Medicago truncatula: one gene and its partner. The protein of the gene in region 2 binds, or shares a complex with, the protein of the main gene of each other region. Links are inferred from orthologs where the notes say so. Each region holds a gene or a part of one and is shown on either strand. Other genes may lie near its edges.

Region 1 (7,455 bases), on a different chromosome or scaffold from region 2:
TTAACTAGTGCAAAGGGTATATGTTTTAATAGAATGGTTTGAAATAATTTAAGAGTGATGAATACTAATTTTCATAAACGGCATACTGTCTTTCACTTTCATATTGGTAAACAAAAGTGCTACTTACAGAATTTAGTTTGTGTCACTCAAATGGAAATTCAGAAATATATGTCCTTTTCTGTAATACTCAGTGTAATGTATCTTCTATTTCAAAATACCACTTCACTTTCATATTGGTAAACAAAAGTGCTACTTACAGAATTTAGTCTGTGTCACTCAAATGATTCGGAAATATATGTCCTTTTCTGTAATACTCAGTGTAATGTATCTTCTATTTCAAAATACCACTTCATTTATCAATTGCTTTCGTATTTTTCACAAAAAAGAAAACAATCATATTATAAGAAGTCTGTCTAATTTGTGGGTGGTGCTTTTCAACAGGTTGAAGGAGAGTTAAGAAACCCTGAACCAGAACATGCAGGTCTAAGGTCATTGCTAGCTGAAAAGGAGTTGAAAATTCAGCAGGTACATAGTTCTTTCTTGGTCTTAACTTTCATGTAAAATATATGAGCCTACTGCCTGAAACAAATTTAGTGACCCTTACCAGCTATAGATGGATATTATAATTGTATTTTCCAAAGTTCTTGCATTTTCTCTTAGCTCAAAATATGGTCAATTAATTATAATGAAGCCATATTTTTTAACATTTACGGAAGTCTTGGAATTTGTAGCAATACTGATTATCAAATCCTGTAAAGTAGCTTCAGATCGGCTGCTCTTCTAGTCTAGAAGACTAGCATAAACTGTAAAAGACTTGCTTATTATTTTAAAAATATAAGAAAACTGACTTTTCTTGAGTTTTATGTAATTATTCTCACTTTTCATGGAAATTGCAGATGGAAAAGGATATGGAAGATCTGAGGCGACAGAGAGACCTTGCGCAATGTCAACTTGATCTTGAAAGAAGAGCAAATAAAGTTCAGAAGGTATCTGGAATGATCATGACACATTAGTTTGACCCTTAATTTTATTCTTCTAACTCAAATATATGCAGGGATCAAGTGATTACGGACCCTCTAGTCAAGTTGTCAGATGTCTTTCTTTTGCTGAGGAAAATGAATTGGCTATCGGTAAACATACTCCAGAGAGAACGGAAACAGTAAGCAGGCAGGCAATGCTGAAGAACTTGTTGGCTTCTCCTGATCCATCAATACTTGTCGATGAAATTCAAAAGCTTGAACATCGGCAGTTGCAACTCTGCGAGGATGCAAACCGAGCACTTGAAGTTCTGCATAAGGATTTTGCAACCCATAATCTTGGAAATCAAGAAACGGCTGAAACCATGTCGAAAGTACTGTCTGAAATTAAAGACTTGGTAGCTGCTAGTTCTACTGCAGAAGAAATCGTGAATGCAGACAAGACCAACCTGATGGAAAAGATCAACCAGCTGAAAAATCAAGGGAACACTATTACATCTTTAGAGAGGAAGCTAGAAAGTGTTCAGAAATCTATAGACAAACTGGTATCTGCTTTTGGTACTGAGGAGACTCCAGACAGTAAGACCCAACTTAGAAGGAAGAAAACTCTTCCTTTCAAATTAAACAACAGCCCCAACATGCAACACATAATACGAGCTCCTTGCTCGCCTCTCTCTTATCGTAAAGCAACAGAACATGAAATTGAGAACAGAGTACCCATTATTTCCTCCTCTGGTCGTGATACTTATGCAAGGTTGCATAGAGATACCCCACGAAAGGATGATGAAAGTTGTGATTCTATTTTATCACGGGCAGATAGCCCTGCTTCGCAGCAATCAAAATCAGTGAATGTGAAGAAGATTCAGAAAATGTTCAAGAATGCTGCTGAGGAGAACATTCGGAGCTTCAGGGTTTATATTACCGAGTTAAAAGAGCTAGTGGCTAAGCTGCATTACCAAAAGCAACTTCTGGTTTGCCAGGCAAGATTTGATAGAATCACTATTTATTATATATATTATGGTGCTGCCATGTATATTTTCTTCATCTTAGTTTTGTTTTCCGCATTCAACCATCTTCATTTTGTTTCCCCTGCCAAACTATAGTTATTATTGAATATATATTGAAAAATTTGACATTTTAAAAACCACTTGTATCTGAAAATAACTTGGAATGATGGAGTTACTTTAGCACTATACTTACTGCTGATTTTTTAAGTTTAACTTCATTGTAATTCATTCATGTTAATAATATATATAATATACTGACGTTGATGCTTTTTTCCTTTGCACTGGTATAGGTTTTGGAGCTTGAAGCAAACAAGTCTATAACTGAAGAAATGGATACAATTGATCGATCTCCTTTATCATGGCACATACTATTTGAACAGCAGAGAAAGCAAATTATCATGTTATGGCATTTATGCCACATTTCTCTGGTGCACCGGACACAGTTTTATCTTTTATTAAGGGGAGATCCTTCTGATCAGGTATATATGGAAGTTGAACTTAGAAGATTGACTTGGTTGGAACAACATCTGGCAGAGCTTGGGAATGCTAGTCCTGCTCTTCTAGGTGATGAGCCTGCAGACTCAGTTTCGGCAAGGTATACAAGTGTCTTTGATGATTCTATTAGATGCATATGTTTATAATTAGTGTCTTTCAAAAGGTTTATTTCAGAAAATAGTGTTGAGATTTTACTACTGATTAATCGTCAAATGCAGCATCAAAGCTTTGAAGCAAGAAAGGGAGTATCTTGCCAAGAGGGTGAACTGTAAACTTACAGCCGAGGAGAGGGAACTACTTTATTCAAGATGGGAAGTTCCTCCAGTAGGAAAACAAAGGAGGCTGCAATTTGTAAATAAGTTGTGGATGAACCCTTATGACATGCAGCATATACAAGACAGCGCAGAAATTGTAGCAAAGCTCGTTGATTTTTGTGTATCTAATGAAAATAGCAAGGACATGTTTGCTTTGAACTTTGCTAGCCCTCATAATAGGAAAACATGGGCAGGGTGGAACTTTATATCAAATCTTTTAAAATTGTAAACACGAACTATTGTAAATGTCTTTCAATTATATGATTATAGTTGGAGAATGGAGCTCATTTACAATATGATATTGTAAATGTCTTTAAAATATTATAGCATCTTCAATATAGTTATATTAAATACGCAGCTATTTTTATATTACTGTTATTTTTCTTAGGAGAATGGAGCTCATTTAGATAGTAGATTGTGTTCCTTAAACTTAAGAAATGTCATTTTATAAGGAACACTTGCAGTTTATTTGTTTATTGTTGCAGTTTGAACCTGAGAAAATGAGTTCTCAGATTGTAGCTCGCATATTGGTTAAGGTTTGCTAGCCCTCTTTCAGCTTGCTTTTTTCTTCCTAAGCACTTCTTCTAAGAATAAAAATTTTGTCCTCCCAACTTTCACAAACCAACGATTTTAACCCCAAATTTTCAAAATAGCACTTTTGCCCCTCAATTTCAGTCCCTCTTGCAAATGTGACACATGCCCTTTGATTTTGACCGGCTGAATGCAGTGATGGGTCAAAATTGTCGGTTTGTGTAAATCGGGGGGCCAATATCGCCGATCAGTTAGGGGTCAAAAATGTAATTTACTCAGATAATATAATACACGTGTGGCATCTAAGTCATTAAATTTGATATCTTTGACTTGGTCAAAATCAAAGGGGTTCTTCAAAATGCAATTTCATGTTAAATTTTTTCATGATTTTTTTTTAGACGTGTTTAGGAAAATACGGTTTTTCACATAAAATTAGAATTATCTGACAATAGATAAATTAAGTATAAATTTTAAAAGTGCTAATAATTCAAAAATCAGAAGAATAAAAGCTTCAACCTAAAAATCAAATTTTAAGCTTAATTTTTGCAAAAATATCTATAAAAGATATAGCAAGGGTAAGCAAAGTTAATATTTCCTTATAAAAAAGTTAATATTGTAAAATAACTTGTGATTTTAAGCTTCTTTTTTTTTATACCATTAATTAATAATGGGTAATATTGTAATATAACTTGTGATTTCCTTCTTCAATACAAAATTAATTATTTTTTTAGTCTATTTAAAATCACGTTAAAATAACTTATAATTTTGATATCCAACTCAATGATCGATTAATTCGAGAAATCTAATTCTACTGTCTACTTGCAGGCTTCTTTTAAAGTCATGACAAAACTCAATGTGGACCGATCCATCGTAATTAACACAAATAATCAAACTTAAAAGAACGCACGTTGTTGTTCTATGTCAACAAGAGAGCAAGATAAACGCAAATTTAAACGAGTTATAATTTAAAGGAGGCGAAATATTTATCTACAATATTAAATTAAAACATTATATTTTTTTTAAAATATATATAAACTATAAAGGACGAAAAAACATTTTTGGTTAAAGAAAAAGGAGCAATAATATATTTAACTTTTCCTTGTGAATCGCGTTGAGGTAACTGGTAAGATAGCGAAGTACTAGGGTTTAGCGCATCAACTGAGAGAGAGAGAGAGAGAGAGAGAGAGAGAGAGAGAGAGTTTCGAAATGGGAAGAGAAGCAGCAGCAGCAGCAGAGAAAGGACAGGGAGGAACTGCTTACACTGTCGAACAGCTCGTTGCATTCAATCGTTACAATCCTGATATTCTTCCAGATCTCGAAAACTATGTCAATGATCAGGTAACCTTTCTTTTTTATCATTCATATCACTAAATTAGGGTTTATACAATTCCAATTAACGATTTTCTATCCTTTTTTTTTATTATTATTTCTTCAGGTTTCATCGCAAACTTACAGCCTCGAATCAAATCTCTGCCTTCTTCGCCTCTACCAGGTATCCATTTTCTTATTAATCGTCATTTTCAGATTATTGCTTGATGACAATTATAAAGGTTGATTGCAAGTAATTGTTTGTTTGTTTATTTATTTATTATTGCAGTTTGAATCTGAGAAAATGAGTTCTCAGATTGTAGCTCGCATATTGGTTAAGGTATTCAATTCTATTGTTTTTTTTTTTATTGCTTATTACTTGTGAACGAAAAATCATATGCCTAGGGGCCTATTTGAATTGACTTATTATGAAAACAGCTTATTACAATATCGTTCGTAAGATGTTTTCAGCTTATTTTCATAAATTCTTCAAGATAGCTTATGAAAATAGCTTATAGCTTATATCAAAACAATTTAACTTTATTTTATCTTTTGCTATATAAATAGCTTGAACACAAGTGCTTATCATAATAAGCACTTGTGTTGTAAGCCTCAAATAAGGTGTTTATCTAAACAGAGCCAAGATAGTTGATTGATGTTATCACTTGGTAAAATATTTGGTTTTGTTTTTCAACAGGCTCTCATGGCCATGCCGGCTCCAGATTTCAGCCTGTGTCTCTTTTTGATTCCAGAACGTGTGGTATGGTTCTTACAAAGTATTCTTTTCTTTGTAGTTGTTTTTCTTGTTCTCATGCATCATTTATTGGATATTTGAATGATTCAGTCACTCTTGTTAGATGCCTTTGATTGAGAAGGACCTAACAATCAATTTTAATTTTATGAAATTGACTGTCAATCTTTAGTATTACATAGGATTTCGGGGGGTTGGGTAGCTCAACTGGTTTTAGCCAAGGGTTAAAGAACATGGTTCAAACCTTTGCAAAGGAGAGAAAAATACTAATATAACAACTAACGTGCTGACATTTCCTCTAAAAAAAATTAAATACTGACATTTGTCTATAAAAAAAATTACATAGGGTTTCTATGTGTCTGGTATTCATCTGGGTTTTATAAATTTTCTATTTGATTTTGAGAATTGTGTAACTGTATTACTGATCTATTCATTTCTTTCTTATTAAGCAGTACCCTGTGGCGTCTTGTTTTCTTTTAGTGTAATAATTTTTGTTTCCTATGAATAATAGCAAATGGAGGAGCAGTTCAAGACACTGATTGTTCTGTCTCACTATTTAGAGGTATGCATCAATTAGTTGCCATGACTTAAGCAGTTCTTTGAAATCATAAGTTAATATTCTTATTATCTTCAGACTGGAAGGTTTCGTCAGTTCTGGGATGAAGCATCGAAAAGTCGTCATATAGTTGAAGCTGTGCCAGGTGATTATACATTATATTCATTCATGATTGATACTGATTTAATTTTGCTATATCTTGTTAATTGAGTCGTGACCCTGGGAAGGCTTGTGGTTACAAATATCTTATATATGACAAGCATTTCAAGATAGAGCTTTATCATACGCTCATCACGGATATATTATTGGGAAATAATAGAGCTGTACTGCTACAATATCATATATATGTTGGACATTGATTTTCTTAAATTTATTACTTATAATAGAGCTGCACTGCTACAATGTTTTATATACGTCAGACATTTCAAGATAGAGCTTTAGCTTATAGGTTCAACTTTGTTAATGCTTGCTTTTATGCTAGCTTACTTCAGAAATTTATTGCAGGATTTGAGCAGGCAATCCAAGGCTATGCGATTCATGTTCTATCCTTGACTTACCAAAAGATTCCCAGAACTGTGCTTGCTGAGGTATGCTTTTAGTTTTGTCCATTTAAATATTGGTTCGTTTATTACTGAAAAATAGTTTGTGTGGCTTAGTCTCTGCTAGTTCAAAGTACATTACATTAATTCTCCAAAACCTAGTTTAACTCGGGTTTGATGAATGAACTCATACTGATATAATACAACACTTCTAGATTCACGATTCATTAAGTCTCCAAAACCTAGTTTAACTCAGGTTTGATGAATGAACTCGTACATGATACAATACAACACTTCTAGATTCACAATACAACACTATTGTTCTGTTTATTCCTTTGGGGTTAAATGATTCTTGAAAACTTCGGCGGTTAGTTATTTGAATTCTTCTCACTGTTTGTCAAGTACAAGAGTGTTGGTTTCTGTAGAAATTGTTTTTATTTTGAAGACTTGTACGGATCTAATAGATATCAGTTGATTTCTCATATTACTTTGAAGCATATTAACAAGATCATTTATTTTTTGTTAAACTTGAATAGGCTATCAATGTAGAAGGTTTATCCTTGGACAAATTCCTTGAACACCAAGTAGAAAACTCTGGTTGGGTTATTGAGAAAAGCCAGGGGAAGGGTCAACTCATCGTCCTTCCGAGAAATGAATTTAATGATCCAATTTTGAAGAAAAACACTGCAGATAGTGTACCATTGGAGCACGTTACCCGCATCTTTCCTATTCTTAGCTGATTTAATATGGGGGACTGTATTTTCTTTCCAGAAAATGTGCGAATTTGTGATTAGTTGAAGCGATATTTTGCTGACTCCCATCCCATTGGATGCTTCAGTTTGAGAATTCGTGAACAGCTATTGTAGTTTACTCTTGACTTTTTGCATTAATGTTTGGAATTTAATTTGCTTTACCTATCTCTTAAACCAATTGCTTTACCATGCCTTATTATTGGGGTAATGCCCTCAATGGGTAAT
Region 2 (7,808 bases):
CCAGATGTTATCCAACCCCTGAACCTTACAGAGTACACAAACACACACACAGACATATATATATATATATGTGTGTGTGTGTGTGTGTGTGTGTGTGTTTAAATAATGTTTGTGCCCAACCACACCAAAGGTTCAGGAAATAATGTAAGCAATTATTTTTAGATATGTTTAAAATAATTACCACAACAAAGATTCAAAACCAACCCATGAAATGCAAAAATCGATAGCTGTTATAAGTTGAAAATTAAAGAAATTCAAATCGATATGACCAACACCAAAAATTTGAAGGACAAAAATAACGAGTGCAGTTACTCAACTACTTGTTGAAAGCCCATTCCTTAACAATATACATCAAGATAACAAAATTAAAAATTTATATAGGAATTTCTTTAGAATTTTTTGTTTCAAATAATGAGAATATCTTACCAGTTCAGCAAGAAGTGACGACCTTGAGAGCTGGGGAAAGACAAAACAGAAACAAAAACAAATGGTAAGAATAGCAAATCATATATCTATACACTACTGGGAGTGCAAATGAGGGAAAGTTAAATACCACTTCTCTGCTATCAGGCTTAGTTTCAAGATTAAAGCCTATGAGATTAGCCATCCTCAAATTTCGCTCTTTTTCATGCTCTAGTTCTAAATGAGATGCACCATGAGTGCGATCATGAGGAGGCACCGAGAGTGCAGCTAGAACAACAGATGAAGCTATTAATTGCAAATCCTTTTGACCAAGATTTTTGTTGAAGCTTTTCTGTAACAAAAAGAGCTTAAACCATGCATAAGCATGATATAAATGACTTGAAGATTTCCAAAATATTTCTGTCAACTTGACATAGTAAACAGTCATCAAGGATGGTTTAGGTGTTTTCTTGACCATGCACATTAATCCATGAATATCTTCAACAGATCTGAAGGCTTCCTGCATGCAACAAAAAATCAGGTCTGCCAACATCAATGAAATAAACACCTTGTGAAGATTTAAGGAAAAATGAGAAGCTGCCAACCTGCCAGAGTTCAAGTTCAGTGGCAATTTTCAGCTGCTCAAATCTTGTATCAAGATACAATTGCAAGCTTTCAGGAGCAGAAAGGTCAGGCCGGTCTCGTTGGTCCCGATATTTGTTAAGATTAGCCAAATGATTTCTGATAATTTCACAGAGTCTGCGAAATTCTGTTGTTCGCTTATACTGCTTACAAAACTGGAAAGCTCGATGGGCTGTCATCTGCATATGGCAATAGAATCGACTATAAGTTTGACATAAAAGTAAATCTGCCTTGCATATTATTGTTTTTTAACTATAAAACGTAGAATGATATGAAATAAAAAAGAAGAATAAGTTAATGGGCAACAACAACATATAGCCCTAATGACAAGCAATTAATTTCTATTTATCAGGAATACTTACAGCATATAAGGCTTCCAATTTGGAGTTGTTCCGCAATATTTCAAGCACTGTCCTGTAAGTTTCCCATAGAAATTTAAACCATGGCGTAACAAGCTCCCGATCAGATCTATCCTTTCCTTTCTCGCCACTAACATAGCTCAGCATCAAATCCTCTGGCCTTTTATCAGCCTCCAGGTCATCCACATCAAGGGCTTCTTCCAAAGCCTGAGCCTGACTACGTGCTTGTTCAGCTTTCTCTGTTGACAGATGCATGAAGTGCTTGATCACCTCCTCCAGTGAGCTAACATTCACTTGCTGACATATTATACGATACTGAATGAGGCCATCCTTAGCAAATCGGCCTTTCCTCATGTCAACACAAAGCTCGACATACTTAAACATAATTCTCTCCAGTGTTTTCTGCCATGCGCGATATCTTTTCGAAGTGATCAGGTCGTGCAGAGTCTGAAGAGCATCCTGCTTCTGCCCGACATTGATCAACTCTGTAAATCAAATTTTAAGTGATTCAATTGCATAATTCTCTAAAACAAATGACAAGCTAAGAACACGAAGAATAGAAAAATAGAAACTAAATAGTCATCTTCTGAACAAACCTTCTGCCCTTTTGAGAGCATTCTCAGGCTTCAAAAATGACGTCATATTGCAAATTCACAAAAATTCAACTCCCTGTAAATAAGAGAGAGTGATAATGAAAATTAAAAAATAATAATGAAACAAAATGTAATCCAAAAACAACTGTAAAACACAAATTCACATCAGAATTATCTAGAAAAATTGTAAATCTCGCAAGATTATAGATTTGAATCACGTTAAACCAATGTCATTCATAAACTAAGACATCAAGTGAAATTGCCACTAAATGTAGCAGAAATTTAAGCGAAAATAACAATCAAACAGATATTCATATGAAAATTCTCTAGGAAAAAACGCCAAAAGATTGTAAATTACAATCACGATAAGGTGATGATATTCATAATAAGAATCATGCTAAGCCATCATCTTCGTGTAATATAATTAGCTGAGCAGATTAACTGAAAATAGCGATAATCAAAATAAAAAAAAAAAAAACAATAATAACAGTTAAACACAATTTCATATCAAAATTCTCTACAATAGTCAAATCTCGCGGAATTGTAAATTAGAATCACACTAAACCGATGATAATCATAAACTGAAAATCAAGTGAATCATCTACATCTAATTAGCTGATTCAAATTAACCATTAACAATAAAACTGGTATTATTGGAATACAAAAATAACGATAATTGAATCAGTTTATATCGCAAATCGCACAATCTCAGAATTGCGTTGCGGAGTGGATCTCTTCTCAAAAGGAATTTCCCGCGCACCGTCGTTCATAACGGCCGGGAAACGCGCCGGAATCGCATCGTCGAGAGTGGAAAGAAAATCGAAAGAAAAAAAAAAAAGGAAAATCTGAACGTACTTCGTAACGGTTTGTCGTTGTCGATGAAAAACAGTGGTTTCGTTTCCGTCCAGCTTTTGCTTTGTTACGAAGAAATTGAGAGTTGAGTGCGTCTTCTTCTTCTTCTTCTCAAACTGGATGCAAGTGCGCAAAAGCTCAGCGGCTGCTTATCGGTTTTGTTGCGTTAGGGTTTTAATGGTAAAAGCTTATTATGGGCCTAAGAAAATTGAATTGGGTCGGGTTTGGCCTCTTCAAAATGTTATGTATTTTTTAACCCAGGAAAATAAATAGTATGAAATAACAAATATTGAAGTTTATCGTAAAAAAGAAACAAATATTACTTTGGTTTTGACTCATCATTAAGACGTAGATTTTTTTTTACTCATTAATGATGTAGAAACTGAAAAAATATTAATATCAAAACCGAAATATTCACATTCAGGATGGAGCCAGAAATTTTTGCTAGAGGGGGCGAAAATAATTCATGTAATGTCGAGTCATTTGCTTGGTTTGAAATCAATTAATCACTTTTGTTTTAAATTTCTGATTTCTGAAGAAAAAAAGCTTTGGGAGTTATGAGAACGTAACATGATAATAAATCACATAAAGTCTGATCGTATATTTTTTAACTTAAATAATGTATTTTTTTCTTTTGCTAACATGAATAAGATGCCTTATTTTACCCTCTCAAACAAAAAGAATACTACTAATTTCAAAAGAGGCGAATGTAATGAATTTTTTTTCTTTCTATTAAGCAATACACAAAAATTAATATCATTATAAGAAGATGACTAAATGTGAGGCACTGGATAGAATACTTGTATATATATGTACCAAGTGACGTGGAAAGGAATTGAAATTAGAGTGTATTGAAAAGTACTAGAGTGATGCATGTAATTGTAGTTCAACTAATCCTGTTTCACAGGAGTAACATTCTTATTTCTTTAGGGGGACGAGTATGAGTTTCGGTATATATTTGTCATAAATTTCTTGTATTTGGGGGTGGCGACTGCCCCAAAACAAATATATGTAGCTTCGTCCACATTTTCTATCCTCTAACTAATGCACTCTAGTGTTGTTAGATTATTTTCTCCAACTTCCGAAAATTGGAGGTTATCACATGGCAAGTGATTTCTCTCGTGGATGTTTGTTTCAAGTTTAATAAAACATTCTTGAAAATGTATTAATAGGGAATTATTATGTTCATATTTATTGTAAGGTTGAGAAAAATATTTTTGGATATAAATCAAAGTTTATTGGAATGAACTAACTTCTCTTACTCTTGTGGAATCATTCACATGTGAGAAATTGGAAATGTGCATTCATGTGAAATTATATATAGAATTTTTTAAAAATGTCAAGTTAATATAGGACCAATATTATACAAAATCCTTAGGTGGTAGTGTGCTTGTTTGAAGAATCGGATTGGGTAACTGCCAGCTGGTGTGTGTGGTTTAAGGAGCTAAGGAGGCATATTTGATTCGATTCTTATTACACTTGCATTCAAGAGTCGTTTGGTTCTCTATTTATTTGTTTTTGTGCAGGTGGTGTTTGTAGTATCAGTTTGAGGCATTGGTGTGTGAATGTCTCTATATTGCTGCAGACTTTGTAAACATTGTTTATTCTATCTTGACTCTTAGCAATTTTTCTCGAGCATTTCTTATATTTGGATTTTTCAAGAGTTTTTTTTTATTTTTTACTATCGGATATTAAGATTCAAATTATACGTGGTTTGATTTAGATGACTATTTAAAACTCACTATCGTCAAATTCAGTTAAATGTGGCTTAGATCATATCAATTTTCGATTAATTTAATTTATAATTGTAAGATATTCTTTGTATTTGTAGGCAACTTAAAATACCAAAAAAAAAGGTTTGTCAAAAAAAAAATTAAGGTTTGAAGTTTCCGCGGCAGTTAACTGCAGTCGGTTTCTGAATTCCTCGACAGTTAACTGCCGAGAGGTATTTTGGTATTTTACTGGTGTGTTTCAGCCCTATTAGATGTGTACACAACAATTTTCATGCTTCTTTTAATGGTAATGTTAATTGTTAATGAATATTTACTATTTTATTTGGATTTGAATTCATAGTCTCTGACTCATTTAACCATTAGCTCAAACTAATTGAACTATCCAATCCTTGAGGATAAGCATAAATATTTTTTTAAGTGTTATTCGAGCACCAAAGTCCTCGCTGTCTTGGATTAAGACAACATTTCCTCACCCCAAACTTTTATTATCTAAAAAAAAACACTCGGTACTTGAACTTTGATATGTACCATTGGATAGTGGAATGACTCATGATCTACTTCAACATTTAATGTTTGCTTGGTTCGTGAGGGATTTGGATTCTCTCCATTGAAATTTTTCTCAGATTTTCTCCATTTTTAATCTCCATCATTAAAAGCCATTAACCACTTTTTTTTATACAATTTAACTCTCATTTTCTCTCTCATATTTAATGGTTAAGATTTCACTTGAGAAAAATTTCAATAGAGAGAATCCAAATCCATTCAGAAGAGGGGTTGGGAGGAGATAAATTTTAATGGAGGGGTTGGTAGGGGATTAAAATACTCATTATGCTTGGTTCAACATTTAATGTTTGCTTAGTTCAAGAGATGATGACCTGGGAGGATTTTAATTACATTTATGTTTGGTTCAAAATGGAAGTGGATAGATTTTAAAACTATTTTACCTTCTTATCTTTATAATTTTTCGATAGTCTCGTGATTTTGAAACTGTGACTCTTCGGCACTAAGACTTTTTGGACATTTTTTTTTTTTTTGTAAAAAATAAGAAATAAATTATATAATAATCAGTAGCTTCAATAATATTGATGGTTTCATAAGTCTCGAATTCAATGGATTTTAGATGGTGTTGGAATGTCATCCATGCGTTACAGATTTGATAAAGATAACAAAACCACTTTTCATGTTTTAAGGGAATACCCTGAACCACTCTTCATGATCTAGTTAGTCCCTTCTAATAACATTACTAGTTTTTTCTTCTTCTTTTTTTAATTGTAAGTACTTGATTTTCAAGAATATCAACAACCACTTGCATGAAACTCATAGTAAGAAGTGGACAACTACTTTTTTGGGTGGATTGCTGGCACATATGTATATGGAGGAGCAAAGTTATCTTTGAAGATGATTTTCAACGACCATTCAATGCAATCTCCATTGTCCTTGAGATGGTCGAGGACATAAACAATTGTAACCACTACCCTATGAATATTTGCCTCGAAGACGCCATTTTTATTGGTTGGGAAAGGCCCCGGGAATGGTGGGCCAAGCTTAATTGCGACGGAGCCTATGAGGACACTCAAATGATTATTCGGTGTGGTGGTCTTACACGACACTTTTACGAGAGATGGCTAATCGTGTACTCACGTAAAATTGGAACCTGGGATACTCTTAGCGCCAAGATGTGGGGATGTACTTGGGTATGTAGCTTGCTTGGAGACGTGGTTTCCGTTGTCTTTAAATTGAAAACGACTCAAAAACTATGGTTGACGTGATCATGGAGAATGTCAAAATTAACGACAAACCGCCTATTTTGGTGTGATACACTCGAAAGCTTTAGAGTTGGATCAACAAGTGTATTTCAATTAAATTATACCTAGAGGGAGGGAAATAAAAGTGTCGATTGACTTGCTAACTTTAACTTTTTTCTAAACTCTTTTCAAATTATTGTTATGAATACTATTCCTAATAAGATTTCAACCCATTTTTTAATGATATTTTTAGGGTTTGCATGCTTAAAAATATTGTTGAAACAGTGCATTTCTCTATCTTTTGAGTTTTGACTCTCTTTTACTAAAAAAAAAACTTTTACAAAAATCATCTCAACAAGTTAAATATAAATAATTTTGTGAATGTTGGTTTATAAAATCTTGGCTTTTCCTACCCTACACTACATCTCAACCTCGCCCTACTTATGAGGAGCAATACTATTAGGTCAACTAGAACATTCGGCAGGTGTTACACCCCTAAGTTAGGGTACGTCCTACAAACATTTTTAAGGTATCTCGACATCCTCGTCATCACCGTGAAACCTCAAACTAGGTTAGTTTCTCGTCGGTGGGTGATTCTGTCTGATTCCGTGCTTCAGGTAACAAGATAAGATGGCATTTTTCTTTGGATTTCACCGCTTGCTTCGTCACTCTCAATCCCCACTTGTTAGCTCCCATTTCACTTCCATTCGTCTCAATTCAACTCTCACTTCCCCCAAACTCTTCATTAGCGGTAATTACCCCACCCCTCTTAACATTTCTCTACCATATTTCAATTTTATGCATTAAATTAGATTAATATTGTTATGATGCACTTGTGTTACACCTAAGTTCCAGTTTAGATTAGATTCTTAATTTAAAGACCTTTTCAATTAACACTAGTTTATGGTTTTTTCACTTTACAAAAGGGTCATTAAAACTGCATTTCTGTCAGCCTTGCCCTGAAACTAGTTACATTTGAAGTGGACTTTTTTAAAAAATTAATAAATTGTATTACGGCTGTGCTTGTACCCTTGAAACATGAAATGTTTTCCTTTATTAAGGAAGCAAAACAGTTATGGCTGCGTGTTTTACATCTTCAAGGGAAACTCGAACTTCTTGTGTATTGATTGATTTCATGGTGTCACTGACTCTCTTTGGCATTCGGCACTATATCTTTTATTAGATGTTTCTTGAAGAACCAACGCAAGAATAAAATCAGCGTACATGAGATGAGAATGTTAGGGGGATGTGTGGTAAAATCAGATGTGAGAGAATTGGGGTAGCACTTATAGTAGAAAAGATGGTGGAAAATAGGCTTAGGTGGTTTGGGCATGTAGAGATAAGACACGTAGATTTTGTGTGAAGGAGAGTAGATCAAATGGAGGATTGTTAGATCCCTGGAGGCAGAGGAAGACCCATAAAAACTATAAGACTAAGAGAAACTATTAAGAAAGACTCAGAGATTAGTTAGTTGGACCAACA

What was found.
Region 1: eukaryotic translation initiation factor 3 subunit A (region 2) and eukaryotic translation initiation factor 3 subunit K share a complex: the UniProt entries of both Arabidopsis thaliana proteins name them as parts of the eukaryotic translation initiation factor 3 (eIF-3) complex. The link is inferred for Medicago truncatula from reciprocal best matches to the Arabidopsis thaliana genes EIF3A and EIF3K.

Annotation. Positions count from the first base shown.
Region 1 is NC_053045.1:59,750,869-59,758,323, reverse strand, and holds eukaryotic translation initiation factor 3 subunit K, read left to right. Parts: upstream 1-4,437; 5' UTR 4,438-4,530; coding exon 4,531-4,662; intron 4,663-4,759; coding exon 4,760-4,816; intron 4,817-4,921; coding exon 4,922-4,972; intron 4,973-5,329; coding exon 5,330-5,392; intron 5,393-5,894; coding exon 5,895-5,945; intron 5,946-6,017; coding exon 6,018-6,084; intron 6,085-6,443; coding exon 6,444-6,526; intron 6,527-7,014; coding exon 7,015-7,218; 3' UTR 7,219-7,395; downstream 7,396-7,455. Other genes in the region: kinesin-like protein KIN-7B, read left to right, coding at 442-525, 897-986, 1,055-1,957, 2,275-2,579, 2,698-3,022. UniProt on the Arabidopsis thaliana protein: Component of the eukaryotic translation initiation factor 3 (eIF-3) complex, which is involved in protein synthesis of a specialized repertoire of mRNAs and, together with other initiation factors, stimulates binding of mRNA and methionyl-tRNAi to the 40S ribosome.
Region 2 is NC_053048.1:47,003,246-47,011,053, forward strand, and holds the start of eukaryotic translation initiation factor 3 subunit A, read right to left. Parts: upstream 3,014-7,808; 5' UTR 2,852-3,013; intron 2,073-2,851; 5' UTR 2,046-2,072; coding exon 2,000-2,045; intron 1,889-1,999; coding exon 1,407-1,888; intron 1,224-1,406; coding exon 1,008-1,223; intron 923-1,007; coding exon 554-922; intron 457-553; coding exon 427-456; intron 1-426. Other genes in the region: organelle RRM domain-containing protein 2, mitochondrial, read left to right, coding at 6,957-7,077. UniProt on the Arabidopsis thaliana protein: RNA-binding component of the eukaryotic translation initiation factor 3 (eIF-3) complex, which is involved in protein synthesis of a specialized repertoire of mRNAs and, together with other initiation factors, stimulates binding of mRNA and methionyl-tRNAi to the 40S ribosome.